Mus musculus: one gene and its partners. The protein of the gene in region 2 purifies or fractionates together with the protein of the main gene of each other region. This does not show direct contact. Links are inferred from orthologs where the notes say so. Each region holds a gene or a part of one and is shown on either strand. Other genes may lie near its edges.

The links.
Region 1: the proteins of Ddx24 (region 2) and Nifk purify together in Homo sapiens (affinity purification with mass spectrometry; 3 studies listed by BioGRID and IntAct, counting the BioPlex papers as one, with this or other methods). This does not show direct contact. The link is inferred for Mus musculus from reciprocal best matches to the Homo sapiens genes DDX24 and NIFK.
Region 3: the proteins of Ddx24 (region 2) and Rplp0 purify together in Homo sapiens (affinity purification with mass spectrometry; 3 studies listed by BioGRID and IntAct, with this or other methods). This does not show direct contact. The link is inferred for Mus musculus from reciprocal best matches to the Homo sapiens genes DDX24 and RPLP0.
Region 4: the proteins of Ddx24 (region 2) and Npm1 purify together in Homo sapiens (affinity purification with mass spectrometry; 3 studies listed by BioGRID and IntAct, counting the BioPlex papers as one, with this or other methods). This does not show direct contact. The link is inferred for Mus musculus from reciprocal best matches to the Homo sapiens genes DDX24 and NPM1.
Region 5: the proteins of Ddx24 (region 2) and Krr1 purify together in Homo sapiens (affinity purification with mass spectrometry; 3 studies listed by BioGRID and IntAct, with this or other methods). This does not show direct contact. The link is inferred for Mus musculus from reciprocal best matches to the Homo sapiens genes DDX24 and KRR1.
Region 6: the proteins of Ddx24 (region 2) and Fbl purify together in Homo sapiens (affinity purification with mass spectrometry; 3 studies listed by BioGRID and IntAct, with this or other methods). This does not show direct contact. The link is inferred for Mus musculus from reciprocal best matches to the Homo sapiens genes DDX24 and FBL.

What each region holds. Positions count from the first base shown.
Region 1 is NC_000067.6:118,324,843-118,328,342, forward strand, and holds part of Nifk (MKI67 FHA domain-interacting nucleolar phosphoprotein), read left to right. Parts: intron 1-2,782; coding exon 2,783-2,891; intron 2,892-3,500.
Region 2 is NC_000078.6:103,408,848-103,412,347, reverse strand, and holds part of Ddx24 (ATP-dependent RNA helicase DDX24), read left to right. Parts: intron 1-1,030; coding exon 1,031-1,219; intron 1,220-2,290; coding exon 2,291-2,420; intron 2,421-3,500. UniProt on the Homo sapiens protein: ATP-dependent RNA helicase that plays a role in various aspects of RNA metabolism including pre-mRNA splicing and is thereby involved in different biological processes such as cell cycle regulation or innate immunity.
Region 3 is NC_000071.6:115,558,156-115,562,266, reverse strand, and holds the start of Rplp0 (60S acidic ribosomal protein P0), read right to left. Parts: upstream 2,801-4,111; 5' UTR 2,728-2,800; intron 2,481-2,727; 5' UTR 2,433-2,480; coding exon 2,379-2,432; intron 1,527-2,378; coding exon 1,263-1,526; intron 1,169-1,262; coding exon 1,022-1,168; intron 935-1,021; coding exon 749-934; intron 1-748.
Region 4 is NC_000077.6:33,160,407-33,164,631, forward strand, and holds the start of Npm1 (nucleophosmin), read right to left. Parts: upstream 2,801-4,225; 5' UTR 2,574-2,800; coding exon 2,516-2,573; intron 1,222-2,515; coding exon 1,142-1,221; intron 820-1,141; coding exon 700-819; intron 516-699; coding exon 422-515; intron 35-421; coding exon 1-34. UniProt on the Homo sapiens protein: Involved in diverse cellular processes such as ribosome biogenesis, centrosome duplication, protein chaperoning, histone assembly, cell proliferation, and regulation of tumor suppressors p53/TP53 and ARF.
Region 5 is NC_000076.6:111,971,223-111,975,494, reverse strand, and holds the start of Krr1 (KRR1 small subunit processome component homolog), read right to left. Parts: upstream 2,801-4,272; 5' UTR 2,703-2,800; coding exon 2,621-2,702; intron 11-2,620; coding exon 1-10. UniProt on the Homo sapiens protein: Part of the small subunit (SSU) processome, first precursor of the small eukaryotic ribosomal subunit.
Region 6 is NC_000073.6:28,168,506-28,172,547, reverse strand, and holds the start of Fbl (rRNA 2'-O-methyltransferase fibrillarin), read right to left. Parts: upstream 2,801-4,042; 5' UTR 2,740-2,800; coding exon 2,730-2,739; intron 1-2,729.

The DNA of each region.
Region 1 (3,500 bases), on a different chromosome or scaffold from region 2:
CCTGGGGTTAATGAACTTAAGTTTGGTTTATGTAAGGTTTCTCTAATAGAGCCCCTAAAACCACAGGAATCATTTTTTGTGAATTTGCTTTTACCGGGGTTTAAGTCAGGGGATGGAAATTGTCGCTTTGTGACCACCACCTTCTTGAGGCCTACTGCCAACTGATTCCTCCCTGGAAGAGAATTTCCTCCCCTGGGGACTCCTCCCGCTGGTTGCCTCTCCTAGTTCCCTGAGCAATTCTTCCTCTTGGGAGACTTGTGCTGTCCCATCTGTTCTTTTGTTTGCGTGTGGGGAAGGAGAAGACGAGTCTTGCATTGTCCTGAGGAGGCTCGTGGGCTTTGGCGCTTTCTTTGTGGGTCATTGAGTCTCCTGGAACTCGTCTGGAATGTAACTGCCGTCTCCTGCAGGTGCCATGGCCAACACAGCCAGCAGCCTCTTTCTTTCCTTTTGTCAAGTGTTTCTCCTCAGTTCCTCCAGCTTCCTGCTAATCTTAGTAGCCACTTCCTCTGCCTGAGTCATGGCTTCTAAATCCTGTAGACTCTACAGTCTCATAGGATAGCTATTCCTCACTTGCTCTAGAGGTTGCTCCCCAAATACATCTGATTCTTGATGTATTACTGCACTTGTTTGACAGCTACCAGGAGATGCAATCTTTGTTCACTGTTCAGCTAGTGAGATGCAGTGAAAAATGAGTCCATATTTACTCCAGAAACTTGGTTCCAGCTCGAGAGCCAAGAAGTGGCTCAGATGCTAGGATGAGCCATCACTTGCATGTCAGAGACCATGTATTTCAACAGGTTTTTAAATTTACATCTTCTAAGCACCTTTAAAGTGTTGGGTTTTGATTTGGTTGGTTGGAGTCGGAGATTAACTGTGGAGTTCTGGCTGTCCCAGACTTGCTACCTGGACCAGGCTGGCCTTGAACTTGTAGCTGTCCTACCTCTGCTTCCCAATTACTAGGATTATAGGCACTCATCACCATGCCCAGCTTAAAGGGAATTTTTATTATTTATCTGTCTGGGTATTCTGCCTGTCTATGTGTTTGTGAACCGCATGCATGCCTAGTACCTGCAGAAGCCAGAATGGGGGGCATCAGAGCTTCTGAACTAGGAAATTGAAGCTGCCATGTGGGTGCTGGGAATTGAACCCAGGTCCAGTGCTCTTAGCCACTGAGCAATCTCTCCAGCCCCTACAGCCTTCCTAATGCTGCAACCCTTCTATACAGTTCTCATGCGGCGGCCCACAGCCATGAAATTATTTCATTGCTACTTCATAACTCTGATTTTTGCCTGTGTTATGATGCTGGGGCTTAAACCCACCTTTTTGTCTGTGTTGGGCATCCAACCCTTGGCTTTTTGGTTTCTTTTCTTTCTTTCTTGATTACTTTTATTTATTAGAATGGGGCAGGAGTGAATGTAGAAATCAGCTAGTTTGTTTTTTTTCCTTCCACCTTGTGTTTCCTGGGGTTGGAGTCAGGTAGACTTGGTAGGTAGTGCCATTGTCTGGTGAGTCATTTCACTGCCCTTGATTTTTGTTCTTGGAATGGCATGTCCTTTCAAATTCCCTTTCAAAGGATCTGTTAGTTTGCAGTGGTAGTCTGTTGTTTTGGTGTGGTTGGAAGTGTTGGTAGGAGATGGTTGGTGGTTGATACTCAACCTGGCCTTACTCTGTCTGTGTAACTGAAATTAACTTTGAATTGCTGATGTTTGTTTTTGTAATATGTTGTTGAGCTTTGTGGGACATTGGTATTTTCGTGGCATCCTGATGAGAGGGTTTTTTTTTTTTTTTTTTTTGGTTTTTTTTTTGGTTTTTCGAGACAGGGTTTCTCTGTATAGCCCTGGCTGTCCTGGAACTCACTTTGTAGACCAGGCTGGCCTTGAACTCAGAAATCCGCCTGCCTCTGCCTCCCGAGTGCTGGGATTAAAGGCGTGTGCCACCACGCCCGGCTTCTGATGAGAGTTTTTAAATTGCCCTCGTTTCATGGAATGACAGTCTGTTACTTAACACAGGTCAGTGCCAGGATCGAAATATAGACATTTGAACTCCAGAACCCACCCTATACTTATGACCATTCTGGGTGTGGGAATCCACTCATGAGCTGGTACAGGGGTTAGGAAGTCCAGACCAGTTCCTTTGCCTAGGCTGTGGAAATCAGGGCAAGTTCCTGGAGGCTTGTTCCTGGAGGTTGTTCCCACCCTTAATGTGTGAGGTGAGGTTGAGCTTGCCTGTGTTCTCCTCTGGCACTGGGGACTGAACCAGGGGAAACACGATAGGTTAGCACGGGCTTACATTGCTATTTTATTTTGAGACAGTTTTACTTAGTTGCCCAGACTGTCCTCATTATACTCACAAGATCCTGCCTCAGCCTCCTGTGTAACTGGGATTCCAGTCTGGGATTACCCAGACTGCTAGGGTTTTAATGAAGGAAAAAAAATCTGGCCCTCGCTGGTGTGTGCCAAATAAGACTGCCAATGAAATGAGAAATGAGTAGACAAATCCAGAACTGTGAAAGCCCAAAAGATAGCCTTCTTACCACCAGCGAGTACTACTGAATTCATTGTAGCCAGAATACTCAGGGATGTATCATACTAAGCCGAATTTTAAGGATACCAGAAAATCTATATTCCAAGCTGTGACTGTCTTATCTGTCTGTCTGTGTGTTAGTTTGGGGGATGGGGGCAGGGGCCAGCGGCTTTGAAATAGTAAAAGTTGCGACTGGGGCTTTTTAGGAGCTTGGTGATAGTTAGACTTAACTGCTCTTTTGTGGGTTTTTCTGTTACAGACTGGAAACAGCAAAGGCTATGCCTTTGTGGAGTTTGAGTCTGAGGATGTTGCCAAGATAGTTGCAGAAACAATGGATAACTACCTTTTTGGTGAAAGACTTCTATCATGTAAGTATTCTGACCTTTCTGCACTGTGATGGGATTACAAAGTTACTCGTGACATTGTACTCGGAAGAGAAGCTGACCCATCTTTAATGTGTGATTGGAAAGAATTTTGCTCAAATTGAAAACTGGTGGGGTTAAAGCCCAGCATTAGTGGTACACGCCTTTAATCCTGGCACTTGGGAAGCAGAGGCAGGCTGATCTCTCTAAGTCCAGAGGCATCCAATGCTCTGTAGAGACCTTATGTCATCAAAAAAGGAAAAGAAAACTGGGGGTTAGATAGGCATAAGCCAGGAAAAGGATGGCAGTGCAGCCTGAGGTCATTTCTTACCCAGTGAGTGGTGAATGCCAAACCAGAGGTCACTAACCTTTAGTTATTGGGATGTTAGGGGATTCAAATGGGGAGCAGAAGATGGGCTACAGGTCTGTGAGGCCTGGGTGCAGCCTCTTAGCCGAGTCTACACAGGGCAAGACCAAAAGTAAAGAATCACATTTCAAGATCAGACTCAGTGAGGGAGGTGCAGCCCTGGCCGTAGCCCGGCTCCGGGCTCAGTAAGAGGCAGTTTGAAAGAAGTGAAGCAGAGAGTAAGAGAGTAGAAAGTCTTCCTTGCCCTG
Region 2 (3,500 bases):
CATGGTAAACGGTTCATAGCGACACTGAGCCTGCTGCACTTCATTCGTGGCGGATGCTACAGGCGTCAGGGAAGAGGAGCACCAGTACCCGTGCCATGCTGTTTGTGGACAGCATGCCTACTATATAGGTTGTCCTGGGTTAACCTGCTCTGAATCCTGGCTCCCACATTGAGTTAGATTACCTAGAGGAAGTGGTGGATCTGAGTGAGCGTTCGTTTCCTGTAATATGTTGACAGTGATAAAGTATTTTATATGTCTAGGATAATATTGTCTTCTTTACATTTCTGTTGCTGTGGTAAAACAGTATGACCAAGGCAGCTTAGAGAAGAAACAGTTTATTTGTCTCATGGTTCCAGAGGTTGTGAGCTCCTGACAAGAGAGGAGAGCTAACAGGGGGGAAGTAGGTGGAGCAGCAGCTGAGATCTGTTGCAAATATGAAGCAAAGAGGGTACGCTGGAAATGGGACCCAGCTTTTGTGAGCTCAGAGCCTGCCACCAGTGACTCTTCAGCAAGGAGATACCTCCTAGGCCTCAAAAAACAAAACAAAAACAAAAAAGCCAGTTGCCAGTTGGGACCAAGTATTCAAATGCCTGAAACTTAACAGGGAACATCTCATTCAGACCACCACATACGAAGTGTTTTGCAGTTGGTTGTCCTAGAGCAGTCACTCGGTAACTGTGGGTTATAAATGTACTGTCATCGGTCATGCAGAGCTGAAGAATATGTGGAGATTCAGAATGACAGTATTGGTCACAAGAGGAGTGAGAGTGGAGAAGATGAAAGAAAAGCAGATAAACAGATTGAGTGTGAAGAGCTGAACAGTTGTGGAGGCTGTAGTGGGGCAGAGCCTGCACAGTAGCTAGACTGTTAACTTAGGGGCAGTCTATGTGTCAGAATGAAGGGCTAAGTTTTTCCACAGAGTAGGGAGATTGGTGTCCTGCAGAAAACAGAGCCAGTTTCGGGGTGTGCCCCGAGGGCAAGAGCAGTGTGGACCTTGTCCATGTGCTGATCCTCACTGCTGCTTTGGCAGGTGCCTCGCACCTCAGAGATTTACATCCACCGAAGTGGTCGGACTGCCCGCGCTGCCAGTGAAGGCCTCAGCTTGATGCTGATTGGGCCTGAGGATGTGATCAACTTCAAGAAGATCTACAAAACTCTCCAGAAAGATGAGGACATCCCACTGTTTCCAGTGCAGTCCAAGTACATGGATGTGGTCAAGGTAAAAGTTAAACTCCACTGCACTGCCTCCTCACAGAGCACCTTACTCTGAGACCAGAAGTTATCCTAGGGGATTGAGAAATGGTTCTGCCGATGGCTAGGCAGTGGCTTTTGTTAAGAGGCTGGAAGTGCCAAGCCTGGGAGAAAAGCAGAAAGGGGGAGTGACCAGAGAAGTGTGTTTTGTCCCTTAATCACTCTGATATCTGGTCCTGAAATCTGCACCTGCTTCTGCTTCAGTAGACAGCTCAGTGAGCTCAGCCATAGACATTGTCAGAGAGCTGTGAACAGCAAGGTAAATGCTGAAGGCTTAGTGTGCCCTAAAGCAGGGACAGTAAAACTTGCTGTCTACGTTTGTATTAACTCAGGAGCATTCACTGTGATTCCTGTGTACCCCGGGCCCCAGTGTATCAGGGACTAATATGGGGTAGTTTTCCCGAGGCTCACCAGTGTATGTATAGGGTAAGCCCACGGCACGCTGAGGTGTCCAGGGAGCACTGGGCCTGAGAGGTGTGTGGTTGCGATGGGAGCAGAGCCTTCGTCCTACTACAGAGATAAAGAAGGGTGAAGAGAAGATGGTTACTACGGGCATTGGGGGTGTGAAGACAAGGGGCAGTTTAAGGGTGTGTCACCACTTGGGCAAGAGCGTTGATTGTGTAAGGATTTAGATGGGGCTGGTAGAGGTGGGATTATAGAGAATTCCTGTTAAGGCTGCTGGGAGCAACTCCATTTTCGTGCTTATTCCCATTGCACATGCTCTCTCCATGTCAGGATGAGCAGGGCATTGTGTCACTGCAGAGTGACCTCAAGACCCACGAGAAAGAGGAGACAAGATCACTCTGGGCCACATAGAAGTTAGCACCTGAGACAGAGCTGTAAGGAGATTCGGTCAGGCTTCTGTGGCTGTGATGGTCACCTGGGCTGTTAGCAGGAACCTGGGCAAGGGTTTCAGTAGAATCTGCATTGTTTCTCACTCGTCACTGATCACATTACAGCTTAAGAACTGCTTCAGTAAAGTTTGCTGAGAGGCCCAGACTCTTGATCAGATGAATATTTTGTGTTACTGCCCCCTTAGGAGCGGATCCGTCTAGCCCGACAGATTGAAAAAGCTGAATACCGGAACTTCCAGGCTTGTCTGCACAACTCATGGATTGAGCAGGCGGCAGCAGCCCTAGAGATTGAGCTAGAAGAAGAGATGTACAAAGGTGCGCCTGGGCAGGGCGATTGCTTTCTTTTAGCTTTTACCTGGTTGAGACCATCCTTATTTCTGTGATCCCAGCAGGAGCAGCAAGGTTCCCTTTTCTTGTCCTATGGCTGCTGCTTCTGTATGGGCCAGATACCTTGGGCCTTTCTTGTCTGTCTGACAGCCTCATGGACAGCCCTTGGACTCCATGACTAGGAACAGATCACAAGCAGGGTATCCTTGTTAATGCAGCCTGTCCTTTACTGTATGATTAGCCGCCTGCTGTGCCTTTTCGTTCATGTATAAGACAGGTAATAAACTCCGTACCTCCCAACAAGGTTGAGTAAAGGAGACTAAACTCGATCCACTTATGCTTGAAAACTAAAAGTATATGGCACTGCTAAGTCGTCATTTATCATGGTAGTTAATGTTGAACAGCACAGCACCTTCATGTCTCATTTATAACTTCTCCAGGTTCTGGGCATGAGTTGAGTGGGAGCGATTGTCCTTTTACATGAGGGATAAAGAGATAGAGGAGTGCACAGAGCCAGGCAGTGGTAGACTTGCCTTTAATCCCAGGAGGGACAGGTAGATTTCTGTGAGTTCAAGGCCAGCCTTGTCTACAGAGCTAGTTTCAGGACAGCCAGATCTACATAGACAACCTTATCTCAAAAAAACCAAAACCAAAACAAAACAAAAAAAGGTTCACAGAGAGAAGGAATTTGTACATCAGAACAGCTCTACCACCAGGCATTGCCTAAACCTTCTTCTGTCTGTGGGCCAGAAGCCCAGAAAGAGACCAGGAGTGAGGGGCTGCATGGCCCTGCATAGTAAAGCTGAAAACTGCATCTGGGGCCTATGACAGCAGTTATAGCTGGTGCCCCTTCTTCCATACCAGGAGTGCAGTTTAACTGAGGTGTTGACTTCTCAGTACCCACTGAGCAAGTTCCCAGGCAGACTGCTGCTCAGTGTAGGAGCCAGGAGTTTGCCAACAGTGTGTTCCTCCTTGTAGCTCAGGTCTGGGGCTCAAGTAGAGATGTGAGCCTCTACCTTTCCTTGCTGAGGTCAGGCATGGGCGGGGACTTGGGCTGTGTCCACCTCT
Region 3 (4,111 bases), on a different chromosome or scaffold from region 2:
GAGCACTATTAGAATATTAATCCATTTCCAGATGTGATTTACCAGTAATGAAACCTTTTCCCAATCTTGAATTATGAGTGGGGGTGGGCATGGTTGGAGTTAGAAATATAAACTATATAAATAACTCAAAAAAATGTTAAGATTAAAATGCTAAATCTATAGATGCATGTCTAATTTCAGTAAGTTATTCACTCAAGGAAACAATTTTCCTTAAGCTGGGCAGTGGTGGTGCACACCTTTAAACCCAGCACTTGGGAGGCAAAAGCAGGATTTCTGAGTTCAAGGCCAGCCTAGTCTACAAAGCCCAGGACAGCCAGGGCTATACAAAGAAACCCTGCCTCAAAACAAAACAAAACAAATCAAAAAACAAAAAAGGTCAATTTAATGGCAAAAGCCTGGTGTGGGACAGTCTTTAAAAAGATAGAGTAATAACAATTTAAATTGTTAGCATTAAATTGTATTCATCTCTCCTTGACTCAATACTCAAAATCTCACCGACCAGCAATGTTCTATTTTGTTTGAGACCTAGCTGTCCTCAAACTCACAAGAGGGTGCCTGCCTCCGCTGGGATTAGACACAGCCCCCACAGGCAGTGTTTTGCTATCACAGGCTAACAACCTTTAGAGTCCCAGCACATGACCTCCTGCCCAACTCTATTTTCTGCAGATGAGAAGATGGAACAACTGAAGATGCCAGCACGAATCTGTTGTCACACTCAGCATGGGAGGAAGGAGCTGGGCAGACATACCTCCAGAAAGCGAGAGTGCAGGGCCTGCTCTGTGATGTCGAGCACTTCAGGGTTATAAATGCTGCCGTTGTCAAACACCTGCTGGATGATCAGCCCGAAGGAGAAGGGGGAGATGTTCAGCATGTTCAGCAGTGTGGCCTCGCTGGCTCCCACCTTGTCTCCAGTCTTTATCAGCTGCACATCACTCTGAGGAAGAGAACAGCAGGACAGTTATCATCTGGACACACAGGAGGCCCAGCCCAAAGGACCGACCACTGCAGGCCATCTACTCACCAGAATTTCAATGGTGCCTCTGGAGATTTTCGTGGTGATGCCCAAAGCCTGGAAGAAGGAGGTCTTCTCGGGTCCTAGACCAGTGTTCTGAGCTGGCACAGTGACCTCACACGGGGCGATGGCACCAGCCCGAGCAGCAGCTGGCACCTAAACAGAACAGAGGTAGTCGACGGTGAAATGCCTCTCCATCGGTGAAAGCCCCGAAATGGCCAAATCCTCATTCATCGTCCCAGCCCCTTACCTTATTGGCCAACAGCATATCCCGAATCTCAGTGAGGTCCTCCTTGGTGAACACGAAGCCCACGTTCCCCCGGATGTGAGGCAGCAGTTTCTCCAGAGCTGGGTTGTTCTCCAGGTGGCCCCTGATAGCCTTGCGCATCATGGTGTTCTTGCCCATCAGCACCACGGCCTTCCCTCGGAGCGACATGCGGATCTGCTGCATCTGCTTGGAGCCCACGTTGTCTGCTCCCACAATGAAGCATTTTGGATAATCATCCAAAAGTTGCTATGAAGGAAGCCAGGAAAAACTACATTGAGAGGAAAACAAACAAAAAATACCCAGCAAAACCCGAAACCCTGCTACCTCTACCTCCCCATTGCTTCACCCTAGGTGTGACACTTCTCGCTAGGAGCCAGCCACCCGAGCCCAACGTCTGTCTTTATCTGATCCAGCTTCCTTGCTGGTTACGAGTATCACAAAATTACTGTCACAGCCAAAAATTAACTTTTAGCTGGGTGTGGTGCCACACCTGTAAAGACAGGTAAGGCTTAATTGCTAATCCGAGGCCAGCCAGAGCTATAGGGGGAAGACTTGCCTCAAGTAAATCTTAAGCTTTACTTTTTAAATAAGGCGTGCCTGGGTGACCAAAGTGACTCTGATCAGGGAAGAGACAGACTTAAAAAGCACAGAAAACAAATTATAGAGAGGTCGGGGGATCTTAGGTTGTGAAATATAAAAGGTACTACCAGACCCAAAAATCTTTGTCTCTGTCTCGGAAAAAAAAAAGAAAAGTTAACTAAAACAGACTGGTACCTACAAAGTCTGGTAGCTCTGGTTCAAAGCCACCTCAAAGGCCTTTTGTAATTAAGTCACTCAACAGCAGCCTGACTGGCAGGTCTCAGATGGGCAACAAGATGAATCACTCCAGTCTCAGCCCTTTGCACAAACGCGAAGGGCTCGACGAGATGAAAAACTGGGTGAGCGAGCTAGTTCTGGAACGCGGGGGGGGGGGGGGGAGATCCCAAGACTACAGAACTTCCCCAGGATGCCCAAACTCTGTTAAAGCGCGTGGCCAACGACCGCCCCGGGAAGACCCGGAGGCGGAAGCCGCGCGTCCCCGGCCCGCTCCACACTTACGATGATCTTGAGGAAGTAGTTGGACTTCCAGGTCGCCCTGTCTTCCCTGGGCATCACGGCGGTGCGTCAGGGATTGCCACGCGGGGTTTAAAGACGATGTCACTGGGGAGAGAGAGGGGGCAGCTTGAGCCCGGTAACCCCAACACCGGCCCCGATCCCAGGCCTAGGCCAAGCCGGCCACGCCAGAGCTGGGCCCCGGGCTGCGGCCGCCAGCAGCGCGGGCGATCCGACAAGCCAGGCGGTAGACCGGACGGGCAGAGCCCGGCCGCGATCCTTCCCGAGCCCATCGCTCCCACCCGCAACGTCCCCGCGCTCTTGCCGCCCTCCCACAACAAAACAACCCCCCAACCTCCAACGAGGACGCCTGGCGAGAGACGGGCCGCATGCCCGCGTGTGCCTTTTATAGGAGAACCAGGCGGTCCTCGAAACCCGAAGACGACGTCGTCCATGCCTATTGGCTGGTTCCATCGACTGTCCTGCCTCACTCAATAAACATGCGCGTCTATTGGCTGAGACCGCTGCCACTCCAGCAAGTCGGGAAAGTAAAGACAGCACCCGGCCGCAGGAGGCGCGCTTTCAGACCTGCTGCCCTCTGCTGGGTCGGAGCCGCCCTGCAGCGTCACCGAGTCAGTACAGCAAAACAACTTTCTGCGAAACCCTAGCTGATGCTCTAGTCTCCTCTTGTTCTTCCATTCTTTTTTCTTTCTTTTAATTTATTTATTTTTTATTTTTTTAGGTTTTTCTGTATATCCTGGCTGTCCTGGAACTCACTTTGTAGACCAGGCTGGCCTCAAACTCAGAAATCTGCCTGCCTCTGCCTCCCAAGTGCTGGGATTAAAGGCGTGCGCCACCACTGCCCGTTTTGTTCTTCCTTTCAAAACCTACATCTTCACCCGCACAAAGTTAATCAAAGATTGCCGTTTTCTCTGAGTAAACGCCTAAAACGTAGACTATTCTCAAGGTCCCACACGACTGTTTCCACTGTCGCAATCTGTTTTCTTGCTTTCCTACTGATGTGTTTGCCTCTCGCCTGATCCCTTTGCCCTTTTATCCCCTTCAAGAGTATGCCTTTTTTTTTTTTTGGTTTTGGTTTTGGTTTTTCGAGACAGGGTTTCTCTGTATAGCCCTGGATGTCCTGGAACTCACTTTGTAGACCAGGCTGGCCTTGAACTCAGAAATCCGCCTGCCTCTGCCTCCCAAGTGCTGGGATTAAAGGTGTGCGCCACCACCACCGGCTTCACAGCTTTTTGAATGGTGCTGGCCAGCTTCGGTCAGAGAAACTCACCTCCCCCACATCTTGCTGCAAATGCTATCTACTCAAGGAGACCTGCCCTGATTCTTGATTTCAAATTTTAAGGGCGGGGGCAAAACCAAACCTACTCTCCCTTACTCTCCCACCTTCTCCTGCAGCACTTACACCATCTAACTCGCTGTATAATTCACCACATTCTGCTTGTCAGCCTCTCCCTGCAGGAAGGTAAGCTCCACAGGGCAGAGATTTTATTCTGTGCCTGCCAGACAGTGGGCAGATAAGTATTTGTTGAGCAGGCAAAACGCAGGGCATGCGGCCAGATGAGACCCGGATCCATAACTTTGTTCTGCCGCTTGCTGTGTTGTCTTAAAAAGCACTTCCACTTTATTGACCGTTTGCTTTCCCTTCCAGGGATACGGGAGAAAATCGATACATAAAACTAGCTTCTTCACATATATATATATATATATATATATATATA
Region 4 (4,225 bases), on a different chromosome or scaffold from region 2:
TCTTCATCTTCAGACTCTGCATCTTCCTCTACAGCTAAAATAGAATTAGACATACTAACTCGACAAGAACAAGTAACCCATAGCATTTTTAAGATTCCATTAAAGGTAGCAAATGAACAGAAAAGATTTACTGTATTTTAAAGACAGAAATCAGGTCTTTGTAGAACTACGACAGTCCAAATGGAAGTCTAGATTGAAAGATAGCCTCATTGGTCATAGGGTCCTGAATAGCTGAACCCAACCAAACACATTCGTCGTGTTAGATTGATCCCCAGAACTCATGTGATAGCAATTAAAGATGCTAGGGAAATTGTCTTGTCTGACCAGGACAAGCATTCCATGGCAGATGTGCAAAGATACAAATGTTTAAAATATTAAAAAAGCTAGCCTATATTGAAAACTATGACAAAAAAAAACCTACCTACTAGATGCTGTCCACTAATGTGCACAGGCCCTGAACCACACTTCAACCGTAAGACCACAGGTGGTGTAATTTCAAAGCCCCCTAGGGAAACCTAAAAATAAGAGTTTTACAACAGATATTACCAGCAAGTTCTACAATGAAATAAACCTATTTATAATAGCAGCAGAAATAATCTTGGTAAAAGATACGTCTTTGCAAAACCTAAATGACACTGACCCCAAATGACGCAAGAGACCTGAACCAACATGAAATCCAAAATTTAGAAATGTACTTACTGTTGGTTGTACAGACATTTTCAAAGTTGCCAGTGTTACTTTAATTGGACTGCCTTCATAGTTCATTGCTTCTGCCTCTACGATGTGTAACTCATCTTTTGCCCCTGCTCCTAAACTGACCTGTGAATAAAAATGTTTCAAAGAAACTTTTAAAGTGGCTTTTCACCACTACTGACGAAAAGAAAACTAGTCATCTCACCATTAGAATTAGAATTGAAGCGTTTCACAACAGAATTACCATATACACAACTGTTCCTTTAAATGAATAAAGCTGGCAGATTAAAAACAAGCACTGTTCTACAAAGCACCTATCTAGCACCTTGGAGTGACCAAGCTATACAAAATTACAAGTGACAAAGATCCCCTATCTTTTCTGGGATTAAACTCCTAGTTCATCAGTAGGAAATGTCTGAAATGTTTTTAAGTTTCAGAGCTTACATACCGTTCTTAATGACAACTGGTGCTCATTTTCATCATTATCCACTTTAAAGTGATAGTCTTTGTCAGCCTTTAGTTCACAGCCTGTATGTAAGACAAAAACAAGAAAGCAAACCTAGCAATGATACTTACATCAAAACCCAAAGCCTAAAGTTCTGTGAAATCAACTCAAATGAAACATTAAAAAAAAAAATCTTTAATTTTCTCATAGTACTAACTACATTGAGGCAACATTGCTGGTTTCCACAGTAGACTTAATGAGTCTCTTTAAAGTAGTATGGTGAAATCGGTATAAACACTACTAGAATTAATGAACGAGTGGCAGAGTTCACTGTTCCTTTAATCTCAGGACTGTTAAAAAGCTAAAACGTGAATCACTGAAAAACAAACTGATTCTTTTAAACAAAAACTGGGTGTAGGGTAGGCAGCAAGACTATAGATGTGATCCCCAAAAGCCTTGATGCTAAAGCGAATCTTGTCTGTTCAACAGATCCTTCCCTCTCCCCACCCCAAGAAAAAGTAGTTCTAGATAGAGCCAGGTAGATGATTTAAGGGTACTCCTAACATTAAGCCACGTGGGCCATCAGTACAGCTATCTGCAACGTGATGCTGACTCCGCCTACCAGAGGCAAATTAAAAAGGGGGGGCTCCATCACTGTGGATACTGAAAGATATGAACAAAGATCTCAAAAACCCATACGCCACGGGCTATGAAATAAACATTTCCCTCCCAGAACTTTTAACTAAGCCACAAGATCCCACGGCTGAAGGTTGGCTAGAGTCGGAGAGCCCGGATGTAGAGCCCACACCCCCTCCCTAACCCCCAACCACGTGGCAACCACGTGCTCCTAGGGGTTGCTGCCCCTTCTGCCTCAGGGCGCCTGCTCGGACCATTCCCCGTTACTGGGCGAAGCCCTCGGTCGCCACAGAATACAAGATGCGGCCCCTGGAAAGCCCAGCGCCTGCAGATGTATCCTCCCCAACAGGGCGGAGGTAGGCCTCGCCTCGCTCCACAGGCCCCTTTCTCCCGTGCCGCCTGCCGTGGCTCAACACAAGAGGAAAAAAAGGAGCTCGGAAGCGACCGTGCGGGCTTTCGTGCACAGGAGAAACGCCTCTCAAGTTCGCGCCACAGGCAAGGTCGCACCCTCGCCGGCCGGCCGGCCGCTCCTAACACCCGAGGCTACAGGCTGGGCCGCTCCCGCCCCATTTTCCGGCGGCTTTCCTAGTGTTCAGGCCGCTGCTTCTAAGGCCTGGGAGATTCCTCCTTGCTCTCCGGCCTCCACCTACGCCGCGTTCCCCACACGCCAGGCCTCGGCTGGGCTCCCGCCCCCCCCCCCATCACCAGGCCCTGCACACGCTTCCCCCTCCAGTCAGTTACCGAAAAGGTAGTTCTGAGGCCTAAGAGGACTCATGTCCATATCCATCGAGTCTTCCATGAGGTGGAGGCGCGCACTTCGGTGTGGGAGAAGCCGGACGGAAAACAACTGCCTCCTGTTCCACAGAACAGACGCGCAGGACGGAATCACGCCAAGGAAAGGACGCGGGCTCTCCGCACGTATATATGGTCGCAGGAGATCTCGCGAGATCTGCGCTAGTCCTGCCTCCGCGAGCCTCCTCTGGATCCCTCCCACTCCCCGCACAGTCGCGCTTTTGCGCGTGCGCCTTTCATCCTCACGCCTAGGTACCTCGCCCCCCTCCTCCTCCAGGTGCTTGGCGGGCTCTCACTGCGCACGCGCGTTCGTCTCTGGCCCCGTCCCTCCACTACTGTCGCCCAAGCGCAGGCGCGTTTTCTCTTTGTGGCCTCGCTCTGGGTTTTCAGGGCTTCCACGTCTTCTCCGCTCGTGCTCGCGGGCCCAGGGCCGAGAGCGTGCGCAGCCCACCCTGAAAGATGGCGGCTGCAGCCAGGGAACCACAGAGCGTCTCTTTTCTCCACCCTCCGTTCCCCGTAGGCCTGGAACAAGCATAATCACCTCAGGATTTGGCTTGCTCGAAGGCTTGCTCTTCGTTTTCACGTAGCTTCAGGAGCCCAGGGCGGAGTGGCTGGATCTAGGCTACTTTCCCCGCAGCCATGCTTTTGCACCTCTTTTCTGAGGCAGCATTTTCAAAACGAAAATTATCAGCTTTATGTCATTTGGGGACCAAAGAGAAACCCAGTCAGTCGCCTCCAAAGAGCATCTTTCTAAAACTTTAGAGCGTGCAGAACTGAGAAAACGCAGGCCGTCTTCATCATTCCAAATGAAGGCCTATCGCTTTTTTAGAAATTCATGAGCCTTAATACGAATCTTCGGCTGGGAATTAGCGCTTTAAAATGAATCCTGACGAACATCCCTCAGCGTTGGGTGCTTTCTGACAGCGGCCCTAATCTTTTTATCTCAACATGGAGCTAGCATATTTAAGAATTTGGGGGAGGAATGTAGATAATGGTACCAATGTTTGTAGACTCCAGAGACGTGTCAGATATAAATGCATGTGAGCCCATTACGTATCAAATCCTAAATTCGGAGATATCTGTCAATATGTGAATTTCAGTTTGCAACTATAAGGAAAAAATCATGAAACTTGGAAGAATTGTGTGTGTAAATAAACAGAGAAAAAAAAAAAAAAAGTCGGGCGTGGTGGCGCACGCCTTTAATCCCAGTTTGCGGGAGGCAGAGGCAGGCGGATTTCTGAGTTCGAGGCCAACCTGGTCTACAGAGTGAGTTCCAGGATAGCCAGGGCTATACAGAGAAACCCTGTCTCGAAAAACCAAAATAATAATAATAATAAAATAAACAGAGATAGACTGGGTATAGTGTGGGAAAGAACGGGTGAACAGAATTTGACCATCCAAACTGAGAAGGTGCAGGAGGAAGCATTGATACCCCTTGAGCCTGTGCAAGCCAGACAGTTTGATTGTTTCTGGATTCTGAAGCTTATTTAAATGCAGCTCATGCTGGTTTAATCCCAGCACTCTGGAGGCACAGGCAAGTGGATCAGGAGTTCAAGACCAGTGGTCTACAGAGCAAGTTCCAGGATAGGCAGGACTACACAGAGACTCAGTTCTTCCTGCCTCCCCGAAACTTTAGGTGCCTTAGTTGTCACTGAATGA
Region 5 (4,272 bases), on a different chromosome or scaffold from region 2:
TCCGCCTCATCTACAGAGGAAAGAATTCACACATCACATGGAATGGTCCTTCACACACGTGCGCACTCTATGCACATCTTCAGAAGATCACCAATGCATTGTTTCATATCCGCATCCCTGGTTGTTACATTATTCAGCATCATGACCACGGCCCCATCATCATCATGATGCTGTAATAGGATCATCTGAATACATTGCAGTTGCCTCATCACAAGGATGCTTTCCCTGTACCCACTCTAACTGGGATGCACCGGTAGACAGCAATTACTAAGACACTTTCACTGCACAATAAAGTGGTTCAAACACCTTATCACTTTTATCCCTTATTATTAATAGCCTTTCTGACTTTCTTGGTACAGTCCTACCCCCACCCCCACATGTCTGTGTGTGTAAAAAATTCCTAAAAATGGATTCTGGTGTACAATGTCAATTAACAGCCACTGTAATACAATTTTAGGATTTCCAAAGAGCTTTATACACACCTTTCATCAATAAAAGAAAGCCACTATTACTATTTCTACTTTATAGAAGATATTCAAACCAAAAGGAGTGACAGGCCAGAAGGACAAATGCTGAAATGGCCTAAAATCCTGACAACTATGAGATCACCTCTGGAGAGCCTGCTTCACTTCTCAAAACTCCCTGTCCCAGAACTTTAGAAACCCCTCAAATCCAATAGCTACACGTTAACTCTACCCGAAGAGAACCATCCTTGATCTTGCAGCGTCAGCACACCTGTGGGAGTTTGTGGGCAAGGCCATCTGGGGCTCCATCTCAGGCAGAGTGAATCTGCATCTCTGGGGTGAGGCCCAGAGATCTGTGCTTAAACGTCATCCTGTCCTTAAACCACCGAGGTCTGAAAGGCAGGCCCTTGGCCCACGTTATTAGCCACAGGTAAGAAAATGTACTTTCTACTTCCACTCACTCTGCCACTTCTGGTTCAAACTCCTGACAATGGGTCCTCATAAACCACTCATTCTCCAATACCTTCTTTTTAAAAACTGCAAACTAAAATCCTATAAAAACTGGGAACATGGGCGGTTGTGGCACACGCCTCTAATCCCAGCACTTGGGAGGCAGAGGCAGGTGGATTTCTGAGTTCGAGGCCAGCCTGGTCTACAAAGTGAGTTCCAGGACAGCCAGGGCTACACAGAGAAACCCTGTCTCGAAAAACAAAAAAAAAAAAAAAACAAAAACAAAAACAAAACAAAACAAAACAAAACAAAAAGCAAGCAAGCAAACTCAGGCCCAGGGTTAAACCTTCCTAAGACAGAATGTGTGAACCCTAGTAGAGGAAAGGGAAGGGAACTAAGGCCACTTAGGACCAAGAATATCACTTGCTTATTAGGTTAGGGTGAAAGTCTAGCTATATAAGTACATCCAGGACCTCAAAATCAAAACACAACAACAACAAAAAAAATCACTGTAAATTTAGATCGATGAGCAATCTCAACTATTAGAGTTGTGCTGGCCCAGTTTCCCCTCCATGGTTGACTATACCCTCACGCTTTGAACGTAAACAAACCTTTCCTAAAACAGAAAAAAACCTGGCACAGCTCCTTCCGGTAGCATTAGCATAACTTGAAGATACCCTGCAATTGAGTTTCCAATCCTAAATTCCTACAGAGACCCTGAGGCATTACCAGAAGACATGCACAAAGGTGCTTACAAGAGCAAGCTGAAGGCAGAGCTCAAATGTCCGCCAACGACGGAATTTAAATATTACACAGCATCGTAAAGAATCAGAAGCTAAAGACACAGACAACATACATAGAGTACACAGCTCCATTCATTCTCCTATGATTCAAAAGGAGACAAAAATCGAAGCGTTTTGTTAAAAATCATAATAGCTGTAGATAGGTGACAGAAAGCTCGAACGAATTACTCCGGGTACCAGAAAGGAAGCTATATAGCATCTGTGATTGGCACATGGATAACTTGAGGAAGATGGTCTACTCATCCTGTCAATTCCTCAAGCGTTGGTTTGAAGCTTTTACCGGTGTCTATAGTCCCTGCCGTATTTTACGTACTTAGTTTTTAAAAGAAAAAAATTTTTCTTTTTAAATTGAAGGTAGGTAAAAACCAAACTCTCATCAAAACGGAAAGAAGCAATCAAACTAGAGCAGCCAAAAATCAAACTAGGGGTTAGAGCTAAAGACTGAGAGCTGTGTCATTTAGCAACTTAATAATCAGATAAAAGTTCTGACAAAACTTCCCATTGAGCTCCGTCCCCACCTTTCCCCGTCCGCCTCCCTCATCACCATCGGCGCTCGCAGGACACGAAGATTCTCCCACCTGATCCTGATCCGCATCCTCTCAACCTCCCCTCCCCAAAGCTCAAGGCAGAACTGCCGCGCCTTCCACAATCTCTGAGTCCTCACACTTTTACCGGGGACAGAAGGCGCATCGGGTACACTTGCCAGGGACGGTCGCTGGCAAAAACACTGCGTTAGCTGCACGTGGCCGGCGCAGCCATCAACACCCGCAACCCTCGGCTACCCCGGCTACCGCAGGCACTGCACAGCCTAAAAGAGGCTCAACCCAAGTGCGCGGCCAAAGAAAGAGACAAAGATGCTTCGAGATCCGCCAGCTCCGGGCTTCGGGTCTCGCACTGCCTCACCTTGGGTCTCACGCTTCTGTTTCTGCGGCTGAGAGTCACGTTTTTGAGCTTCTTTGGCAGGCGCCTCCGCAGAAGTTGCCATCGCAAAACTGCTTCCGGCGGCCCCGGAAGTGGAACTGTTCTTTAAGATCCCGCCGGCTACAATGTGTAAAAGGCAAAACGAGTTCCGGATAATCCCTATGAGACCTGCGTGGTCTCTGCTCTGACGAACAGGAAGCCGATGGGGCGGGGACGGGGGGGAGCGTGACACTTCCTTCCCAGGATGCATTGCAACCTCGGTGTTGCACGCTGGGAATGGTAGTTTTCTTGTATCAAGCTCTAAATTGTAGCTACTTGTATAGCCCTGTGGGAACTTCTTTTTTGAGAGGGGAAGGGAAGGAAAGGGAGAGAAAGGGAGCGAAGGAGAGGAGAGAGAAGAGAGGTGGGTGAGGGTGAGGGAGAGAAGGGAGGGGAAATTATTAAAATTCTTATTTGAGGGGGATTAGAAATCTAATGAAAATGGCGAATTGTATCAAAAATCTACCCAAACTTTGCTACCACTCTTTAGCCCATTTGAAAACCTACCATGAGTTTTGCATTTTAAATCTCTCAACTTCCAGATTGGTTTTAAAAGACTTTTCTGTTCTATTTTTATTTATTTGTTTGCTTGCTTGTTTTGTTTATTTTGGGTTTATGAATCGAGGCCACTGTGTATCCTTCACTAGCCTGGAACATGCTATGTAGACCTGGCTGGCCTCAACGTCATAGTGATCTTCCTGCTTATGACTCCAGAATCTGGGATTAAAGGTGTGTACCACCACACCGGTCTTCAGCATTCAAATGTTTGGGGTTTTTTGGTGGGGGCTGGAGGGAGCTATTACCAAAACTTTATTGTTTATTATTCTTACATCATAGCTTTAAAAGGCTTAGAATATAGTCAGTAAAAACAGCAAAAAAATATTAGCACAAAAATATATTCACTAAATTAGATGCTAAGATGTGAAGAGATGTAACCAGGGTCTGAAAACACACTAGGACCTCTCCTTCTGGACCATGCTCTCCCCAACCTCCAGGAAATATTTAATAAGCACATGGGTCAATAAGCCAGATAAAGGAAAGAGGAGTACCCGCATATGCCTAGTAAAACTGAGAACAATACTTCAGGTGCTTAGATCGGTGGTTTTCAACCTGTGGATTGTGACTCCTTAGAGGGTCAAACTACCTTTCACAGGGGTCGTCTAAGACCATCAGAACGCACATGTATATAGACATTATAATTCATAACAGTAGCAAAGTTGGACGTAATAACGAAATGATTTTGTGGTTCAGGGATCACAGAAACATGCAGAACTATACTGAAGAGTTGCAGCATTAGGAAGGTTGGTAACCACTGGATTCGACTATGTTTTGAACAAATTTTAAGGGAAATTCTCTGTATGCAAACTGATGCCTCATAATGGTGCACCCATTCCAGTCTCTTTGAGAATCAAATGTAGTTAGTATTATGTTTGAATGGTTATGAGCTTCGAGCTTCTTTCAAAGAGTGCTTTTCACACATGGGTGTGTGGGTCTGGGTTCCTTTCACTGGAAAGAGGCTGTTGGCCTCACTTCAACTTCTTCCAAGCCCTTGTTATTTTTTTTAAGTTGACAGCATAATAGTATTTCAATAAATA
Region 6 (4,042 bases), on a different chromosome or scaffold from region 2:
CTTGAGGGGGGGGGGCACTGCAGCTCTAATAGGCCAGGCCCTGAGTTCAACTCCCCAGAATTCAAAAACAAACAAAAAACCCTGTGCAACTTGGTATCTATTTCAAACTAAGTTTTTGATTGTTTGTTTGTTTTGGGTTTTTAAAGACAGGGTTTCTCTGTGTAGCCCTAGCTGTCCTGGAACTCACTCTGTAGACCACGCTGGCCTAGAACTCAGAAATCCGCCTGCCTCTGCCTCCCAAGTGCTGGGATTAAAGGCGTGTGCCACCACGCCCAGTTCTAAGTTAAGTTTCAGCTTCAAAACTCTCAGACACCCCCAAGCCCCATCTCTACCCTCCCTACCTCACTATCCACAACAAAATCAGAATTCTTTTCTTGACCACGATTCCCTGAGAAGGGCATTTTTTTTCCTTTTTGAGTTCCCTGCAGGACCTTAATGTATAGCCTAAATTGAGATTCATCAACCCAGGCTGTCCCCCATCTGCAAATGGCAGGCTTTGAAATCTCATGCGAGCTGCCCCTCTTCCCAGCTCCCGCAGGCAGGCACAGCACTCCCGCACTTGGGTGTCTGACTAAGTGGTACAGACTCAGCCCACTTCTTGTCACGTTACATTTAACTGTCAGTCTCACTGGCACCCACAAGTTCCAAATGCACAAAAGGCTTTGTAATTATTCTGGTTACAGCATCTCAGCACAATCCAATGCTGACACCAACAATCAGTCAGCAAACGTCTGCCGATGACCTTGAGACAGGGTCTCCAGCTGCAATGGTTGATCAATCTGAATTTTTGACCCCCCCCACCTCGAAGGCAGGAAGATGGATGTTCACCACCACACCTATCCCTAGGTAGCACAGGAGAATAAAGCTATTGTCTCCCGAATGCCAGGAAGCACTTTATCAGCTGAGCCATATCCACAGCCCTGGATTCTGCCTCAGAGAAACCACTTGTTTTCATTCAGAAGAGAATGGTGTCCTGTAGCTCATATGGGAGGATGGCTATGCTACTGTTACTCAAGACCCTAAAGTAGCAAAGGTCTATGGGAATGATAGAAAAATCAAGGAACTGTATACACAAGAGTACTGAGGAGAAGAGCCACTAGCTCCAACCCTGGGCCTGACAGAACAGAGATCTGGCAAGCTGTTGGCATCCTCATGGCGACCGGTAGATAGCAGGGTCAACTCAGACACATAATACTCAATGTGTTATCAGGATCCATTTCTGGTCCTGGGGTTTTGAGGAAAATGAACCGAAAGGACTCACTACTCAACAAGACTTTTATGTTCACACACAGTCTGCTGTTTTAGAATCTGCTTTTCTCTACAAGTCTCCCCACCTCCAAACTAGCAACTCCAGCAACTGCTGCAATCACATGCCTGCAACCCAGCCACTTGGGAAGCCGAGTCTGAGGCTAGCCTAGGCTATTACAATAAGATGCCATTTCAATACACAAACATGAAAATAAAGGACCTTGTTGAGAATCGTCCACCATACTTTGTAGCACACCTCTGTTTAAAACAATCTCCCCCAAAGCTGCTTCGTATTCAAGACACAAACTGTCACAGAAGATTCGACTGTTCAACAATTCTCATTCTATCGTGTGATGGAGAAAGGTTGAGGGGAAAGCACAAATCACAGGATGCCAGGAGAACATCCAGACTAGCAATCCCTCCACCTTACTTCCCCAGACATCCAGAACAGAGCCCCAGATAGATATTCAACATGTCTGGGAGGGAGAGATGGGTCACTATCGCCTGCAGTGACTTACTCTCCATCTGTCCACAGGAACATGTGTGTCCACGCCAGACAAAAACCTGCAGTGGTGAAAACTGATCCTTCGGCAACAGGAAAAGCTCATGCTATCACGACTAATGTAGAACAGACTGGTGTTACAAACTCATTATCTAACTGTCTCCGCTTTCCGAGTGCTAGGATTGACAGCCCAGAGTAACCTATCACCAAGAAAACCACTTATCCATTAAGAACTCAAGAGAGAAACGAGAACTTTCTATTGTCAAAGCCAGAACTCTCGCCATCATCCACCATACAGTGGGCTCATCAGAAAAAAACGCGGGAAATAGGTGAGATGGATACATTTGTCAGGCCAGCCGTGGTGGCGCACGCCTTTAATCCCCGTACTCTGGAGGTAAAGGCTGGTGGATCTCGGCCAGCTAGGATCACGTGACAAGACGCTCTCAAAATCCAAACCTAAACCAACCCCTCTCAATTCCAATCACCTACCCCGCTAATAGCCGGGCTAGTAAAGTCGCTCTCACTACAGAGCAGGGACTCCCAGGTCCCCAGAGCCTCTACTCCTACAAGCCTTGGGTCCCGCCCCTCCCGGAAGCGCGGCGAGCGCCAGCCTGTGCACGCGAGCGCCGCACACCACGGAGCCGGAGATCCTCATTTACCCGGGGGGAAGCTGGGTTGGGGACCAAGGTATCGTTGACAGGGAGTGACAGTGGGTGACGGCGGCAACAGGGAAGGCTTGGGGTGGAGACAGGGGCCCTTTCATCTGCGACCCAAGTCGGATCCCCTAAAGCAATGCTCGGAGATCCAAGCCCCAACTCTGGGTCAGGGTCTGGAGGGCCGCACCGGCCGCTCTGAGGCGGCAAGCTTGTAGGCCGGCCGGTGAGCCGAGCTCACGGCCACATCCCCCGGCCCCGAGCGGCCGCGGTCCCCGCCCGCCGCGCCTAGAGCCCCCGACTCCTGCCCGCACCGTGGTCCTTACCTGGCTTCATTACTGCGTTCTGGTCGCGCGATTCAGGCAACCTGCGGCGTCCCCGACTCCACGAGTCTCAGGCTTTCGCACGTGGAAAGGAGCGCCTGCGCGCGGTGACGCACGGCGAGTGACGGAAGCGCGTAACCACGCCCCTTAGACGCGCGTCCCGTCTCCCGGAAGTCGGAGTCGGCCCCTTGGGTGGGAGTTCTGAATCCTTTTCCGGCTCTGTCGTGTCTCTACGCTCCTCACTTTTTCCTAGAGTGGCAAATTTTATCACAAGTGCGCTGCGACTTTTCCTCTCACTTATGCTAGCACTCCAGGAATCAGGGGTTATACCGATTTTTAAAAATTTATTATTTTTCAAAGACTTTAAATTTTTAAAATTTTATCCTTAGAAGTGTTTAGCTTGCATATTCGTCTGTCTGTGCACCACGCATACGCCATGGAAGTCAGGAGAAGGCGTCAGATCCCCTGGAACTAGAGTTACCGGCAATTAATTGTGAGCCGCCAAATAGGTGCTGAGACCCGAACCTGAGTCTTCATCAAGAGCATTATGTTCTCTTCACAGCTGAGCTATCTCTCCAGCACAGCCTTATGTTTCTGTTTGTTGTTGAGGTTTGTATTTTATGACAGGGTTTTGCAGTGGGGTCCAGGCTGAGCTGGAACTCGGGATCTCCTATGGTACACTTCGCTTTTCTATTTCTCCTTCCTTTTCCTTTTCCGCTCAAAGAGCTCCCTCCTTTACAGCGAAGAACAGGCATCTCACTGCTTCTGCTCTCTACCCCTGGCCTCTTACTGGAAATCTTCACTCACCCAAATGTTGTCGCAGCTGCTCCCAGGCCACTGCTGGTTTGCAGTTGTTTCTGCCTCTGTTCCTCCTCTTCAGGTCATGAATTCAGCCCACCCTACTGATAAAGATCACATCAGTCGAGCAACAACTGTTGCAGAAGGCCCAGTGTTAATGTTGCACCACCAGGAGGCAGCACAGGAGCGACCGGTCTCCAGAAGAAGCGTCCTAATAGCCAGAACTTACAGCCTTCCGTGCAACTGAAAGATCATTTGCACTAACCGCTGACTTTTTGTTGGGTTACCAGGGGAAATGGTTTCCCTCTGGCCTTGGTGAAGTGGCTGCCAAGGATTATAGAGGCTTCTGATGGCAAAAAGTCCATGTTAAACTCTTGGGGATAGTCAGGGCCAGGATAGTGCCTCCTAGAGCAGGAGTTGTCTTTTAGCATTAAGTGGTGGTCCATGCAGTATAGCTTCCTGGAGGTGTCTGTGGAGCATTCAAGAGCTGCCAGGCTGCCATGACAGTAGACCAGCTG